Linked DNA regions of Schizosaccharomyces pombe. The main gene of each other region encodes a partner of the protein of the gene in region 4 in a complex. Each region holds a gene or a part of one and is shown on either strand. Other genes may lie near its edges. The genes, in order: snr1, mrp5, mrps18 and mrp4.

Region 1 (4,005 bases), on a different chromosome or scaffold from region 4:
GATGTGGCCATACACGAGCTATAACTTTAGCCTTAATAAGGCCCATTGGAACAGGTCCGTAATTTCGACTATCAAGTGAGTGAGCAATGTTATCTCCTGCAAGCCAAACATGACCTAAAGGTATAGTTATTTTTTTATTTGAAGAGGTGGGATCGACATAAATTGTATCTCCTGGCTATAAAATTAGTACAAAAAGGATAACGTTCCATGTGAAATACTCACCATTCCAATGATTCGTTTGCACACGTGTTGCTTTGAATCGGAAGGTTTTGCCGAAACAACAACATCTCCTACAGAACATGAACGAGCAAACCTACCATGCAATTTATCTAACAAAACGAATTCACCACTTTTTAAGTTAGAACCATAAATACAAAGCGTTATTTCAATACCCAGAATTTAATGTTGGCATCATACTTGGACCCGATGTCATTTGCACTTGAAAAAGATACTCATGAATTTGATGCACAAATGCAGCAATCTGAACGACGGCAATAGGAATACGGAACATGCCAGCCATTGTTAACCAAGAGGTAACTAATCAAGACAGTAAACTAAATAAGCCGAAATTAAAAAATTTAAACACGACAAGAGAAAGGATTGAAAAAAGAATTAATGATTGTGGATTATAATGTTTCCGTAACTACCAAAATCGGAAAATGTAGATTCATGAAATTCAAAAACAATTGAAAGATATGCGTTTATTTCATATCATAGAGATAAAGACGGTTCAGGTTTTGATTTCGTAAAAGAACTACTATTTGCATCAACATAAGCAGTCAGGGAAGCAGGTTGATCCATATCACTTAGTGTATTTCGTTGAGCAAACTTCTCTACAATTAACGACATGGCTTCAGAATCAATAAATAGTTTACCGAATTTTAGTGCATCTCGAACCTGAAACTCACCAACAGGAATAAAGGAGCAATGGTAGCCTAACTGTCTAGATGCAAGCAATAAATTATTATTTTTAAGGGACTCATCTTCAAAGTAATTATCGTTAAGGACAAAAAGTGCCTTCCCGTACTCGTGTCCTAACTTGTGTTGCTTCAAAACTTCAAGCAAAATCCGTGTTTTTGGTTGACTTAAGTTGATGGGATTTTCAAGGATGGTCAGTTCATTATTAATAAATCTTGTACTTAGCGCAATCCTCATTGCTAAATTATAAACTTGGGTTTGTAATTTTGTACTGAAATCTCTAGGCTTAGGACCATGTGATTTAGCACCACCTCTTCTTATAGGACTTGAGGCATCGCCTACCCGTGCATGTCCTGTACCTTTTTGTCGATAAAGTTTTCGACCGGAACAAGTAATTTCATTTCGGCGCTTTGAGCTAGCAGTGCCTTGACGGTCATTATCTGCTTCATAAATAACGGCACGATGCAAAATATCTCGACGAAATCTTTCTTGCAGGAAACTTCCGGGAATAAGAAAAAGACTCGCGGGCTCCAACGACGGAAATTTATATCGCACCAAGTGCAACATTTTTGCTGTCATTCTGATTAGTTTGTGAAATGGACGACTAGTACCTGAAGAATGGATGTATTTTACTTTCAATTAGTCTAACACAATGTACTAAGTATCACAATGCATTTCATTATAACATATTGTGCATTCAAAAGTATCGTAAAGCGTAAAGTATCGAGTTCATTAAATTACGTTGTTTTATGCAACAGGAACTTTATGACTGTATACTGTTAGATAAATTAATGATATCTCATTCATTACCTAAAATAGAAGAAATAATTATTTATACTATGTGATGTCGTACATTAAATATTTGGAATTTGCTCATTCTGACACCTTAAATTGTTGTTGCAAATAGCACCTGTGTATTACAATAACAGTTTTGAGTACTCAATGCTATGCAACAAGTGGTTTAAGACTTTTAAAATCGACAAACCCTGAGAAACTAAATTAATACTAAATATAGATTTTTTGAGACAAGTATTTGCCCAGCTAATGCATGGAAACCTACTTTGTTTTACGAATGGTCTTTTGTGATTTGTTATTAGTTCACAATTAAGAACACACTTCGTTATAAAGTAACGTAGAAGAGACGTTAACCGTCTATGCAAAAATAATCGGTGTTATTTAACTTGGTTAGCTTTCATGGGATTGAAATTAAATATCTCTAACGATTTGAAAAAATCTGGATTTATGTTAAGGCAATCCTTACTTAAAACAAGTGTGTCAAATTTCCTTTCTTTGAATGCAAGTAGCACCATGTCTAGAGCGTTTATTCGAAATCCAAAATTTTATAGCACTTCCTCAAATGATACAGTTTTATACGAGAGTAAAAATGGAGCAAGGATATTTACTTTAAACAGGCCAAAAGTATTGAACGCTATCAACGTTGACATGATAGATTCAATCCTACCAAAGCTAGTTTCATTAGAAGAATCAAATCTGGCCAAGGTAATTATTCTTAAAGGAAATGGTCGCTCTTTTAGTTCGGGAGGTGACATTAAAGCTGCAGCACTTTCAATACAAGATGGAAAATTACCTGAAGTTCGCCATGCATTTGCTCAAGAGTATCGATTAAGCCATACGTTAGCTACATACCAGAAACCAGTTGTGGCTTTGATGAATGGCATCACCATGGGAGGTGGATCTGGTTTGGCTATGCATGTTCCTTTCCGTATTGCGTGTGAAGATACGATGTTTGCTATGCCAGAAACCGGAATTGGCTATTTTACTGACGTGGCTGCCAGTTTCTTCTTCAGTAGACTACCAGGATACTTTGGAACTTATCTGGGATTGACATCTCAAATCGTAAAAGGATATGATTGCCTGCGTACTGGAATTGCAACTCATTTCGTTCCGAAGCATATGTTTCCTCATTTGGAGGACAGGCTTGCAGAGTTAAACACGTCTGATATTTCTAAAATCAATAATACAATCCTGGAATTTGCCGAATTTGCTAGCAGTTCACCACCCACTTTTACTCCAGACGTTATGGATGTCATTAATAAATGCTTCTGCAAAAATGATACCGTTGATATTATTCGTGCGTTAAAAGAATATGCTTCAAACACTAGTGCTTTAGCGGAATTTGCAAAATCTACCGTTAAAACATTGTATAGCAAATCTCCGACTTCAATTGCTGTTACCAATCGACTTATTAAGTCTGCTGCTAAGTGGAGTATATCTGAAGCATTTTACTATGATCATATCGTTTCCTATTATATGCTTAAACAGCCTGATTTTGTTGAAGGTGTTAATGCTCAACTTATTACAAAGACCAAAAATCCAAAATGGAGCAAATCCCATGAATATCACTTTAAAGATTTAGAAAACTATTTCAAGTTGCCTTCAGAATACAATAATGGGATATCTTTTGCTGCAAAAGGAAGACGTAAAACTCCCCTTTGGAATTATAAGACTTATCCTTATTTATAATCCCAAAGGTTACATAAATTAAATATTGTTCTTTATGTCTACTAAGTTTTTTCAGTATTATAATAAGATGATTTATTTCAAAGACCCTGTTATGTTTTAGCATGCGATAAAGCACATAACTCTTTTTAGCAGCTAAAAATAATGATAGCCATTTTAAATACTCATACTAAAACTCTTTTTCGGTAGCTGTGCGTACGATAGTTCAAAAAAAAGAATGCTAACGGCATTAATATATATTCCATAATTCCCATATTGGATCAAACAATGAGAAAATAATTGACAAAACTGCCAAACGCATACCCAAAATATATTTTTATTATTCCAATTGCTCACGGCCTTACCATAAGCTTTTCTAGCAAAAAAAATTATATGATAAACTAAAAAAGCATGCACTTATGGCATATATTTCTGTTTACTGATGTCTCAAGTATTTTCCTACGATGATACAGTGATCACGTTCGTAAGGCTCTAAAGTAAGTTGTTCTTGAGGTTTAATCTTTTCCTCTTGCATTTTCTTAACCTCACGAGCAAAAACAACAGCTGCATCAGCGGTAGAATCAATACAAGAAGCCTTAACAGAGATAACAACTCCACCTTCGTTTT
Region 2 (3,958 bases), 780 kb from region 4:
TATTAGAAGCATTTTGGTCATTCATATAATCATAGGAATTGTAGTAGTATTCTTCCCAAGACCCCATACCAGCAGAACGACGAGATCTTGAATAGGTAGGATACCTCGCTTGAGACCAATTTTGAGGCGAGGGATGTGTAGGATGAGACGGCTGATTCCAGTGAATTCCAAATCTATCGTATTCCTCACGACGTCTCTTATCAGATAGTAAAGCGTTGGCTGCCAGCAATAAACGAAAGTACTCTTCGTTGTGCTTATTAATTTCTGGCGGAGATTCCGTAGGCGCTAGCTGAGATGCATTCTTCATTTTGTCAGGATGATGCTTCTTAACCAGCTCAATATATTTTCGTTTAATGTCATTAGCCGTACACGTACGAGGTAGTTCCAAAATTTCATAAGGCGTCAATGACTTCAATTCGGAATAGGAAGTAAAACTGGCTGCTCGCCTCCATAAGCTATTTCGCACAAGATTTAACCGAAAAAATATCTTTGACATGTTCAAAACTTGTTCCAACAGAGGCGACGTTAGTTTCTGGATACGATGGAAGCTTTTATGTAGTTAATATTCAACTGAGTAAGATATCAATGTTGCTTCATTGAATGCAAACCGGCTGATCGAGCGCTGCTTTTTTTAAAGTAAAAACCGCAAGATACTCTGGTTCTATATAGTTTTAAAGCTGGATATGTAAAAGGAAGCTGGTTTGGTAAATATTTCAAGAGTTGGTACCATATCCGTCTGCTATCCCTATTTCGTGCCCTTGCTATACTACGTGGGCGAATCGCAGAGTTGTTGAGCTGCACCAACGAATGAGAAGGAAACGCAGGAAAATGTAAAGATTTAGAGTAATGGTATTTAGTAATAACAAACTTATTTTTATTTTAATATTCTTTTAAGAAAATACAAAATTTAATCGCAAACGAATTGAAATATTTTGGAAATTCTTTTTTATTGCCTTTCAAGGACGCCTTTCCTTCGTTAAAGACGCATCATTCTTTTATCGATAGATTTGAAAAAGAAGATCTTTAGTTTCAATCGTACAACACAATTCTTGCTACACGGTGTTTTTTGTTTGTTTGCATTTCGCGTTTCTTTGACCTACAACGTTGAATAGCGTCGCATTGGTGACTTACCTTGGAAATACGTTATTTATTTTCCGTTCGTAATTCTCAAAATTACAGGTTTGCCGTGGATTAAAAGATAATTTGGTCCACGCTTGCTCTTTAACTATCTTGATTGCCCTAATTGTTGTTTCTTTTAAAAAATTTCTAGAATCTTAAGTACTAAAAAAATTTGCCGAAGAGTAATTTTGAGGATAATATGGAAGTGACTATTATTTTGCTTTATTTAAAAGATTCTTTTTTTTCTCTTTTGCCTATCATGTATCCTTTTAATCATATAGTTAGGTTGAAATCAGTGATCTTTTCAATTCATTTCTTCCATGTACAATTTCAGCCGCCGCTTGTTTACAAATATAATGAGCTATTTCAAATTGTTCATTGCATCGCTAACTACGTATATTTGCTTGTAGTTCGTGCACCGTATTCATATTTATGAAGTCGAATGTACTACATTAAATGGGTGCCTTAGAAGCGTTCTTTGTAAACGGAGGATGATGAAAGGAAATCAAGAGAGAGAACTCAGAAAAAAAGGAGTTGTTAACCAGACGATAAATCAGAATTACAAGACGAGCTGATCCTAGAAAGTGATGTGCGGTTTTATGTACTTTGTCCATACCACTACTAAATAGGAACAGTAGCGAATCGTACCGAAGCGCCCTAACTACAACCAATGCCAAAGTGGTAAGTAGTTTCACGGCTGAGACAGTTATAAATTTATTTGTGCGATTCAAAAAGCATTTAAACTCATCGATAGCATTTTTTTTTGACTGAGTATCTCTTAGGGTTTTCCTCCCGTCTTTATAGCGTTAGTGACACCCTTGGTTGCAAAGTGCAATAAATATATAGGTGGTTCGGCTTTTATAAAGCGATTCCAGGAAATATTCTTACTTTCACTGCTAAGGTTCACTAAAAATTCATGATCATAACTTAAAAAATAATTTTTTTATTGATTTAATTACGATGTTACGCTCATTTTCACATTTTCTACAAATTGGCTCGAGGCGGCAGCCAACTTATTTTCGGTGTTTCCATAAAACTACCGTACATCTTAACTCTTTTAAGAATGATCCCAAAAAGGAATTAAATTCCAATTTAAACGAAAAATCCGTAGAGGAATCATCCAAGAATGAAACCAAGGAACAATTTAACTCATCGTCTATACCAAGAGAGAGTGAATCTGAAGGTAAAACTGCGTCAAATACTTCCCCATTATCACCAAAAAAGGTAGAAAATCTCAGCAAGCTTTTTAACGACATTAATGAAGATGTTTCTATCGAAGAGTTAAAGTCTCGTTTCAAAGATCACCTTCCTTTCTATGAAAACTACATTCGTAATCATCCTCTAGCCATTGAAGCACTCCAAAAGTCTACAGCACCACGTCAAACTGGTTTGAAATTGAACTATGTATCAAAATTGGATAAATATGTCACTCCTTTAGATGGATATTCTCATTTAGGATCGGAGGAGTCTAACGGGGAAATTCCTGATAAGTGGGAGGATTTTAAAGATGACCTCACGTTTGAAATTTCTTCAAAGTTTTCCCCATTTGATTTTGGCGATGCTGGTAAGAGCACAAGTGACGCTGAGTTTCTCTCGGATATTAGTGGAATCCCAAAGTCAGATCTCAGAGCCTTAATGTTCGTTCCCCTTGTAAGAAGACGTGTTGTTAATCAAACCCGTAAGGGAAAAATTGCCAGTATGTACGTACTGACTGTTGTCGGTAATCGAAATGGTGTTGCTGGTTTTGGTGAGGGAAAAGCCGAAAGCTATTCATTAGCATACAAACAATCATGTGGACGTGCTGTTAAAAATATGGTTTACATACCTCGCTACGATAAAAGGACTGTATATGGCGTTATTCATAAAAAATTTCATGCTGTCCGGTTAACATTACGATCTCGTCCAGCCGGTATGTTGTTCATTTGTTCTATAAATAATCTTTTAAAAGCTTAGACAGTTCTGTTTTCTGTTTATCGATTAGTTTTATTCGACATGTTTACTTGTCCTGCAATGACAATTTTACTAACTAAATATAGGTTTTGGACTTCGATGCAACCCCATCCTTCATGAGATCTGTAGATGCGCAGGTATAAAGGATATTAGTGGTGAGATACTTGGTTCTAAGAATGGAATGAATACTGTAAAGGCGATGTTTGAGGCTTTACAAAGTCAACGTCTCCCTGAGGATATTGCCATGGAGCGCGGCCAAAAGTTTGTTGATGTACAACGCGAGTATTACAAACAAACATGATAAAGTGACTTTTATTTTTTGTATAGATAAATATTCAATGCAGTCAGTACTCTAATTCTTTACTTCTGGAAACCATTGTGCAGCTTTGTTGTGCAAGATATTCATCTACATCCAATTTGTATCATTATTTCTTTAAACATCGTACATCATTAAAGTCTGAATAAGCTCGTTAATTATAACGTACTACAAAACTCCTATCACTCAACCCTACCCTAGCTAAGAAGTACAGTCACAGGCCTTCGAAACGGAAATTATCTTAGACAAAATTAACGACACCACCAACACTTTGCAGGATGGGACGTGATATATACAAGGACGAGACTTTGACAATCCCCAAGGGTGTTACTGTTGACATTAAGGCACGTAATGTTACAGTTACCGGTCCTCGTGGTACTCTCAAGCAAAACTTGCGCCATGTTGATATTGAAATGAAGAAGCAAGGCAATACTATTAAGTTCATTGTCTGGCACGGATCTCGCAAACATAATGCTTGCATCCGTTCCGTCTATTCTATCATTAACAACATGATTATCGGTGTCACCCAAGGTTTCCGCTACAAAATGCGTCTTGTCTATGCACATTTCCCCA
Region 3 (3,334 bases), 1.9 Mb from region 4:
AAAAATAAAAAAAGTCCTTGAATCGTCTCGGAAAAGGAAAAAAATATGAAATATAAATTTCCTATTTGTATGTATGAATAAATAATTTCTAAACGTTAAATTGGAAAAGGTCGTTTCGTAAGGTCAGAAAGGTGAGGCTCTAATGATGAAATTGGATAGATGAAGCCTAAGAATATCATTTTCTAATTAACAGATTACTTTATTGAACCTGTTTTAATGGAATATTTTCATGCTGTGGGTGATTGGCATACCAATCAACCAAAAGCAGTGCCTTGAGAAAGTCCATGATTTTTAAAGAGAGTCCAAGAGCAAGAATGAGGTTACTTGCGTAATAAAAATTTGCATTTCCACATCCAAGAGTTATCCAAGAATGGTAAAATGCAGATCCCAGTACAAGCGCAAACACAATAGCATTATTTGTAAGCAAGCTATATCGCATTCGGTCTTGGACTTTATTAAAAATTGGGAGGAGAGATAAAAATATTGAAAGATCACAAATACTTGGGTAAGCTTTGAATAAAGAATGCAGGCCAATAAGAGCAATAGTAATAGGCAAGGGCAGATAATAAAGACGGATCGAAACAGGGAGAACAAACATCAATGGTAAAATGGCAAATACAAAAAGGAAGAATGTGCGAAATTCATTGAACATTTCTGTAAAAAAATACCACCAGAGACCCAAATTCGGAGTTAGATCATGAGAGTCCAAGTATACCCTAAATGGAATTTTCAAAAAAGATAACGAGTTCAGAAAGAAGCCTGAAGTTATTATCAGACCTGCAAGATAAAAAAGAAAAACAACGAATATCTGACGAAATTTAATGGATGAATTGCATTTTCTTAAAATAAGATAGGAGGGGAAAAATAACAGTAAAGCGTTAGGATTAATGAATACAGTCAATGCCATACAGCATGCATAAATTGCATAGGATCCGCAAGAGGCGAAATAAATGGTCATTAGAGTGGTGAAATTAAGTATCATGTCTGCGGAGCAAGCAATTCCTGGAAGAAATGTTAATGGGTTAAGCAGATAACTAAAGTAATATTTTGTTAGTAAATTTTGAGTTAAGGATACTTGTTTGCGACACAAATATATCACAGAAGTACACATTTTCAATATCGACTACGAAATCTGTGTAATCAACGCAGTTCAATCTTTGAACAGTCATCGTTAACAATTTTGTAAACCAACGATACAATGCTTTTCATTTTTTTGAAGAATGTCTCACTTTTTTTGTCGCAAGCCATATGCGTAACTTACATGACGGAAATCCATAATGGTGAACAAGTAGATAGTACTTGATTTGGGTCTAAAACACGAGCTTGTTTTGCAATTAAATACACAAAGAGACCTCCCATAGTAGAAATGCTAGTATAAACAAATCTGGTGACAGATATTCCTCCAAGCAACTCACAACAATAATTTAAGATCAGTAGAAGTGGAGACTGATAGAAAACACCACCAGAATAGGGGTCTAGTCCGTTTTCATACAAGTAAAGTCCTTCACGAACACGTAAAAATCCGGATACAGGCGTCGATACTTCGATTCGCCTGTAAAGGAATTCAGCAATCCAAGTGTTTGCTAAATACCATTGAAGAAAAAAAGAAATTGATAATAAACCTAATAGTTTTAGCTTCTCATTTGGTATCATTGCAAAATCTTCACTGTTCAAAAGATGGGTTATATTTGTGTTTTCAATTCACCAATCTTCGTTTAAATTACAGTCGTTGGGTATCCCAAATGATCCGTTTGAAAAACTTTTAAGGCAGCCACCAAAGTAAGATTTTTAATTTTTTATTTCTTTATTTTTTCTTTAAAACGAGAAGAGTGTTTTAGGTTAATATTTACACGTTCATACCACTACCACAGGTTGAGTAACATAAGTTACCTGGTATAGAAATTATGGTATTGAAGCACTCGGTTACTTACAATTTGTCATTTTTCATTTCCTTTACATTTTCATCCATATTTTTTAGTTCTTTGATTTTATTTTTGGTTTACAAATCGGTTCTTAGCAAGCTATTTTTCATCAAATATCTAATGCTTAATTTAACAAAAGTTGGACTACGAAGATTTTGGAGCCAGAGTCCTAGGCGGAATGCGCCCAAAAAGGAACTCTCTTCTCTTTTAGAATCCACAATCACTCCAAAAGCTTTTTCAAAAAGGACGGAGGAGCCAAATCCGATTATGCAAGGTACGGATACCATTCCAATGCCATTTTACCTTCATGCCAAATGTTTGAAGAACAACACTCACATTACACTTTGTTCTCCTGAAAGAAAAATTATTTTTAGGGCCTCTGGAGGAACCTGTGGTTTTCGTAAAGGAAAGCGCCGTGGCTACGATGCTGCTTATACCATTTGCTCCAAGGTGCTGGAACAAATCCAAGTAAAGCGCCTTGGTATTGAAAATTTGCATGTTATATTTCATGGTTTTAGTCAGGCCAGGGAAGCAGTACAAAATTGTTTATTAGGGCAAGAAGGTGCCGTAATTCGAGACAAAATTGTAAAGGTTATGGATCGAACACCTATTAAATTTGGAGGACCGAGAGGTAGAAGGGAGCGACGCATATGAAGTATGTTTATATTACTTTTCTGTTTTCTTCGTTTACGTAATCTTCCTGTGCAGTTAATCTGCTGCCCAACATTGTTGGTGCTTTTCCACCGTTGTATTTGACCTTCTGAACTTAGAAATGATTTATTAATACCGGTGTGATAGTGCAACATGATTTCTTAAAAAAAACTATATCCCATCTCTAATTCAACACAAATAGTTTTTACCTATCTTTCTCTGTAATTTATGAAATGCAAAAGACATTATTATTCCCATATTATTTACATTATAAATAATGACCGTCACTGATCAATAAGTAGACACTTCTATATCTAATTTTATCTGCCATACTTATTACATTACAACTGCTGACACCATATCAATTTCAGACAGTAAATATTCATAAAAATCGTCATCGACCCAATTTTCAGAGCCTACTGCTGATAATCGACTGGATGTGCGTTCTTTCACTTCTGAAGTGTAATTTAAATCTCCTTTTACGAACCAAGGCTCATACCATCTTCCCAAAACATCTGCGAATGGGCAGACGTACTCGACAGATTTATCATGCAGGCAACGAAAATATGTGTTTGATAGTTTTGATACCATTTGTAATCTTCTTGGTAATTCTTTTAAGTCATCCTTATGTTCATCAATATTGTCAGCGCTGTCATTATAATCGAGTGCATTTTTGTCAATTTGTGTCCATAGTGAGCCTTGGAAACAGACAATGTCATCTTCGTTTACATAAATATCAGATATGTACATAAAACTTGTTT
Region 4 (3,280 bases):
TTTAGCTGATTTACAGCTTCAAATTTAGATTGGGCGCTAGCATTGGCAACTTTTGTTTTTTTGTTTTCTTTAAGATTAGTGATCGATTCTACCATAAACTTTGTACGGACAGATATGGTTGATGGATCAGCTGAAGCTAATAACAAATTCATTTCCGTAACAATATCTTGGAGAGACGTCGGGTCATCTGATCGCAACTGCCCTCCACAATTGAGGACAATTTTGAGCAGCATTTCAACGTTCAATTCGGTTAAAGAGCGTAAAAAAAGGCGAATCAAATCATAAACAAGAACACATGAAACAAGTTGAAAATTATACAACTCAACAAAAAATACAATCAAGTTAGAAGTCTCCTTATGGGAAGAAAGAGGTTCTTTCTCTTTTGATTTATAAAGCTGCAAAAAACGTTCCACTAGGGTTTGCAATAGATGAGCACCAAAGTCATTGCCTACAATGCGGTAAAGAGCAGTGGCTAACGCAGCATATACTATGGCCAATTGATCTAGCATAGATTCTCTTCCCATTACGGTTTGTAGTAGCAAATTGGTGATGGTAGACGTGACTGAGTGTCTTGAATTTTCCATGTAAAGGACTTCAATCTCCTTAATAATTGAAGAAATATTTGCGATAGACAATTTGTTTAGCGATCCTTGTAATTTCCGACGAAGTCGCAGAGCATCTTCTGACTCCTTATCTCCCCCTAATTTTTTCCGTAAAGATGGAGGGACATACTTTGAGCCGACGTTCGCATTAGGTAAGGATGGGACTGCAGGCTTCAAAGGATCCATCCGAATCGGCTTAGTTTCAGGTTGATGGAATTCATCAGAATTAGACTCAAACCCATGAAACTCTTCCTCCTCCTCACCCGAATTTCCTTCCCTTTCACTTTCCAACTCATCAACGCTACCATGGTCACCTGTATCGTCTGAAACTTCAGAGTCTTCTGAATGACCATATGAAGGATCTTCAGTGCCCGGAACGCCTATGTCATCAATTTCTTGATCTAGGTCTTCTAAAAGCCATCCAAATTCCTTGTCAATTTTTGAGTGAGCAGATTTATCTTTGCTTTTGATGCCAAGCATCTTTTCTAAATGAGCGATTTCACGATCATCCTCTTCCAAAGCAATCTTATGCTGAAAAGCAATGGGATCGAGTAATTTACTCTCCTTTGCCTGTTTATTCTGTGAAGATTTTTTTTTTGTAGATGACTTTCTGTGAGCATCTAAGTAATCATCATTAAGTTCAGAAGACTTACTATCACCTTCTTCTGTAATCTTCCGGTTTTCATAACCATTTTTTCCTCGAGAGATCCTAGCAAATTTTCTTTTTTCACGATGAGGTAGATTATGATTTCGCTTTCCCCGCCTAGCACTCGAATCTATCAATTTGGTTAAATATACTGACCAAATCTATAAAAAAAAGCTTACCAGATTCTCCTATCTCTTCTAAAATACTTTTGGGCAGTTTTAAGCTTCTGCTTTTTTTAATTGGCCTCATACTATCGAATGTTTAAATATTAAACAAACGATAATTAATACTAAAGCTCAAGAACTACCAAATTTTTCAATTAAACGATACCAAAAACTGGTATAATTGCTTTACAAAGAGAAGAATTGGGCCTCAGTCTCGAGTTGGCGTATCGTTTCAAATGAATTTCACAACACTGCTAATGGAACTGTATACAATATCGCAATTTGTTAATGCTATTTAAAGTTGTCACTCTGCTGCTGTATTTTACATTAACGCTCTATGTAGTATCACACTAATAAAGCATATCGAAGTGGAAATGTTGCAATCGTGCAGCGATTTCAAAGTCTTAAAGTACTACTACACCAAACGGGCTTTCATTTTGCTCGAGTCATTCGTGTCTGTATTATGCTTTCACGGAAATTATCACCGGAGCAACTTGTAGCTCGTCGTTTAAAAATACGTGACTGGAATCACAAAATAGGTGCAGTTGTAGCTCCCCATTATTCACCGACATTATCCATTCGAAATCCGGCACCTCCTAGTCAACTTAGTCTTCCTTTATTGTTGTCTTCTGGTGCTCATTTAGGACACTCTACATCCATATGGAATCCTTACACGCAGCCCTTTATATATGGTAAAAGAGAAGGTATTCACATAATATCATTGGATCAAACCATGGTTTACCTACGAAGAGCTATATCCGTCGTTAGATCAATAGCTAAAGAAAATGGAATTATATTGTTCATTGGCACCAGAAACGGCCAGAAAGATTCTGTCGTTGCTGCTGCCAAACGTGCTAGAGGTTATCACATATTTGATCGTTGGCTACCAGGACTTCTCACCAATGCCAGAGAAGTACAAGGAAAGCTTGGCGGTTCAATTTTATGTAAAGATAATAGAGGGAAATTGATTCAAACTGATAAAAAACCAAGTTATGTCTTTCCTGATTTGATGGTTATACTAAACCCATTAGAAAACAAAAGTGCTTGTCTAGAGGCACAGAAAACTCATGTTCCAACAATTGGAATCATTGATACTGATGCGGATCCAAGGATGGTTACCTATCCTATTCCAGCAAATGATGATTCTTTACGGTGTACAGATTTAATAGCTGGTTTACTGAGTAGGGTAGCTGAGCAAGAGTACCAAAAAGCTAACCAAGCCTTCGAAAAAGATAAATTTACACTTCCTTTATGATTCCCCTCTCATTGTTTTGAAAATGCCTGTATTCTTTGATTTTTCTAAACATGATTAAAGATAAGGTCTGATTAATTTTCACTAGTATTCAATAAAATTAATGATTCGTAAACGAAAGGTTAAAAAGAAAGAATAAATTATTATGGATAACGTATATATCACATTTCAATGATTTGATGCCAAAATTTTTGTTAAAGACAGACATATTTTGCTGTGCGAAAGGAAATCATCGGTATGCTTTCACATTTTCTATAAACTCTTTTTTCAATTGTTGAATAGTCATCTTTCTAGTATCCCTTGAATTATGATTGTGTCTACTAGATACACTGAGAATTTCTTTGTCAACTTCGTCTTCTCCAATGACAATTTCATAATTATAATTTAAAAGTCTTGATTCACGTAGCCGTTTGCCAATAGATTGTGCTTCAGCGTTTATGTCCACATAATAGGTATTTTTATTGAGTGGGAGAAATTCAGATTCATTGACTTCCTGATTAGACAATTCCTTTTGTACTTGCTTAGCATAAGTTAGAATTCGATCTGTTTGATTGACTGGTAAAATGACAGCATGTCTAGGACTTAGCCAAAATGGCCAGTGTCCATTTAAATGCTC

What was found.
Region 1: mrp4 (region 4) and snr1 share a complex: the UniProt entries of both Schizosaccharomyces pombe proteins name them as parts of the mitochondrial small ribosomal subunit.
Region 2: mrp4 (region 4) and mrp5 share a complex: the UniProt entries of both Schizosaccharomyces pombe proteins name them as parts of the mitochondrial small ribosomal subunit.
Region 3: mrp4 (region 4) and mrps18 share a complex: the UniProt entries of both Schizosaccharomyces pombe proteins name them as parts of the mitochondrial small ribosomal subunit.

What each region holds. Positions count from the first base shown.
Region 1 is NC_003423.3:2,978,950-2,982,954, forward strand, and holds snr1 (mitochondrial 37S ribosomal protein mS47 ), read left to right. Parts: upstream 1-2,052; 5' UTR 2,053-2,112; coding exon 2,113-3,402; 3' UTR 3,403-3,491; downstream 3,492-4,005. Other genes in the region: mmp1 (endopeptidase catalytic subunit), read right to left, coding at 1-175, 223-349, 393-520; yml6 (mitochondrial 54S ribosomal protein uL4m), read right to left, coding at 712-1,497; fib1 (fibrillarin, rRNA and histone methyltransferase), read right to left, coding at 3,815-4,005. UniProt on the Schizosaccharomyces pombe protein: Component of the mitochondrial ribosome (mitoribosome), a dedicated translation machinery responsible for the synthesis of mitochondrial genome-encoded proteins, including at least some of the essential transmembrane subunits of the mitochondrial respiratory chain.
Region 2 is NC_003424.3:2,283,915-2,287,872, reverse strand, and holds mrp5 (mitochondrial 37S ribosomal protein uS5m), read left to right. Parts: upstream 1-1,859; 5' UTR 1,860-2,079; coding exon 2,080-3,028; intron 3,029-3,155; coding exon 3,156-3,370; 3' UTR 3,371-3,391; downstream 3,392-3,958. Other genes in the region: SPOM_SPAC4G9.19 (DNAJB family protein), read right to left, coding at 1-496; rpl901 (60S ribosomal protein L9), read left to right, coding at 3,664-3,958. UniProt on the Schizosaccharomyces pombe protein: Component of the mitochondrial ribosome (mitoribosome), a dedicated translation machinery responsible for the synthesis of mitochondrial genome-encoded proteins, including at least some of the essential transmembrane subunits of the mitochondrial respiratory chain.
Region 3 is NC_003424.3:4,966,465-4,969,798, reverse strand, and holds mrps18 (putative mitochondrial ribosomal protein subunit S18), read left to right. Parts: upstream 1-1,936; 5' UTR 1,937-2,042; coding exon 2,043-2,576; 3' UTR 2,577-2,809; downstream 2,810-3,334. Other genes in the region: gab1 (Pig-U family GPI transamidase subunit), read right to left, coding at 200-1,034, 1,262-1,653; SHREC complex subunit Clr2, read right to left, coding at 2,910-3,334. UniProt on the Schizosaccharomyces pombe protein: Component of the mitochondrial ribosome (mitoribosome), a dedicated translation machinery responsible for the synthesis of mitochondrial genome-encoded proteins, including at least some of the essential transmembrane subunits of the mitochondrial respiratory chain.
Region 4 is NC_003424.3:3,064,805-3,068,084, reverse strand, and holds mrp4 (mitochondrial 37S ribosomal protein uS2m), read left to right. Parts: upstream 1-1,818; 5' UTR 1,819-1,875; coding exon 1,876-2,667; 3' UTR 2,668-2,759; downstream 2,760-3,280. Other genes in the region: sgd1 (ribosome small subunit biogenesis protein), read right to left, coding at 1-1,378, 1,428-1,497; SPOM_SPAC24C9.09 (threonine--tRNA (Thr) ligase), read right to left, coding at 2,894-3,280. UniProt on the Schizosaccharomyces pombe protein: Component of the mitochondrial ribosome (mitoribosome), a dedicated translation machinery responsible for the synthesis of mitochondrial genome-encoded proteins, including at least some of the essential transmembrane subunits of the mitochondrial respiratory chain.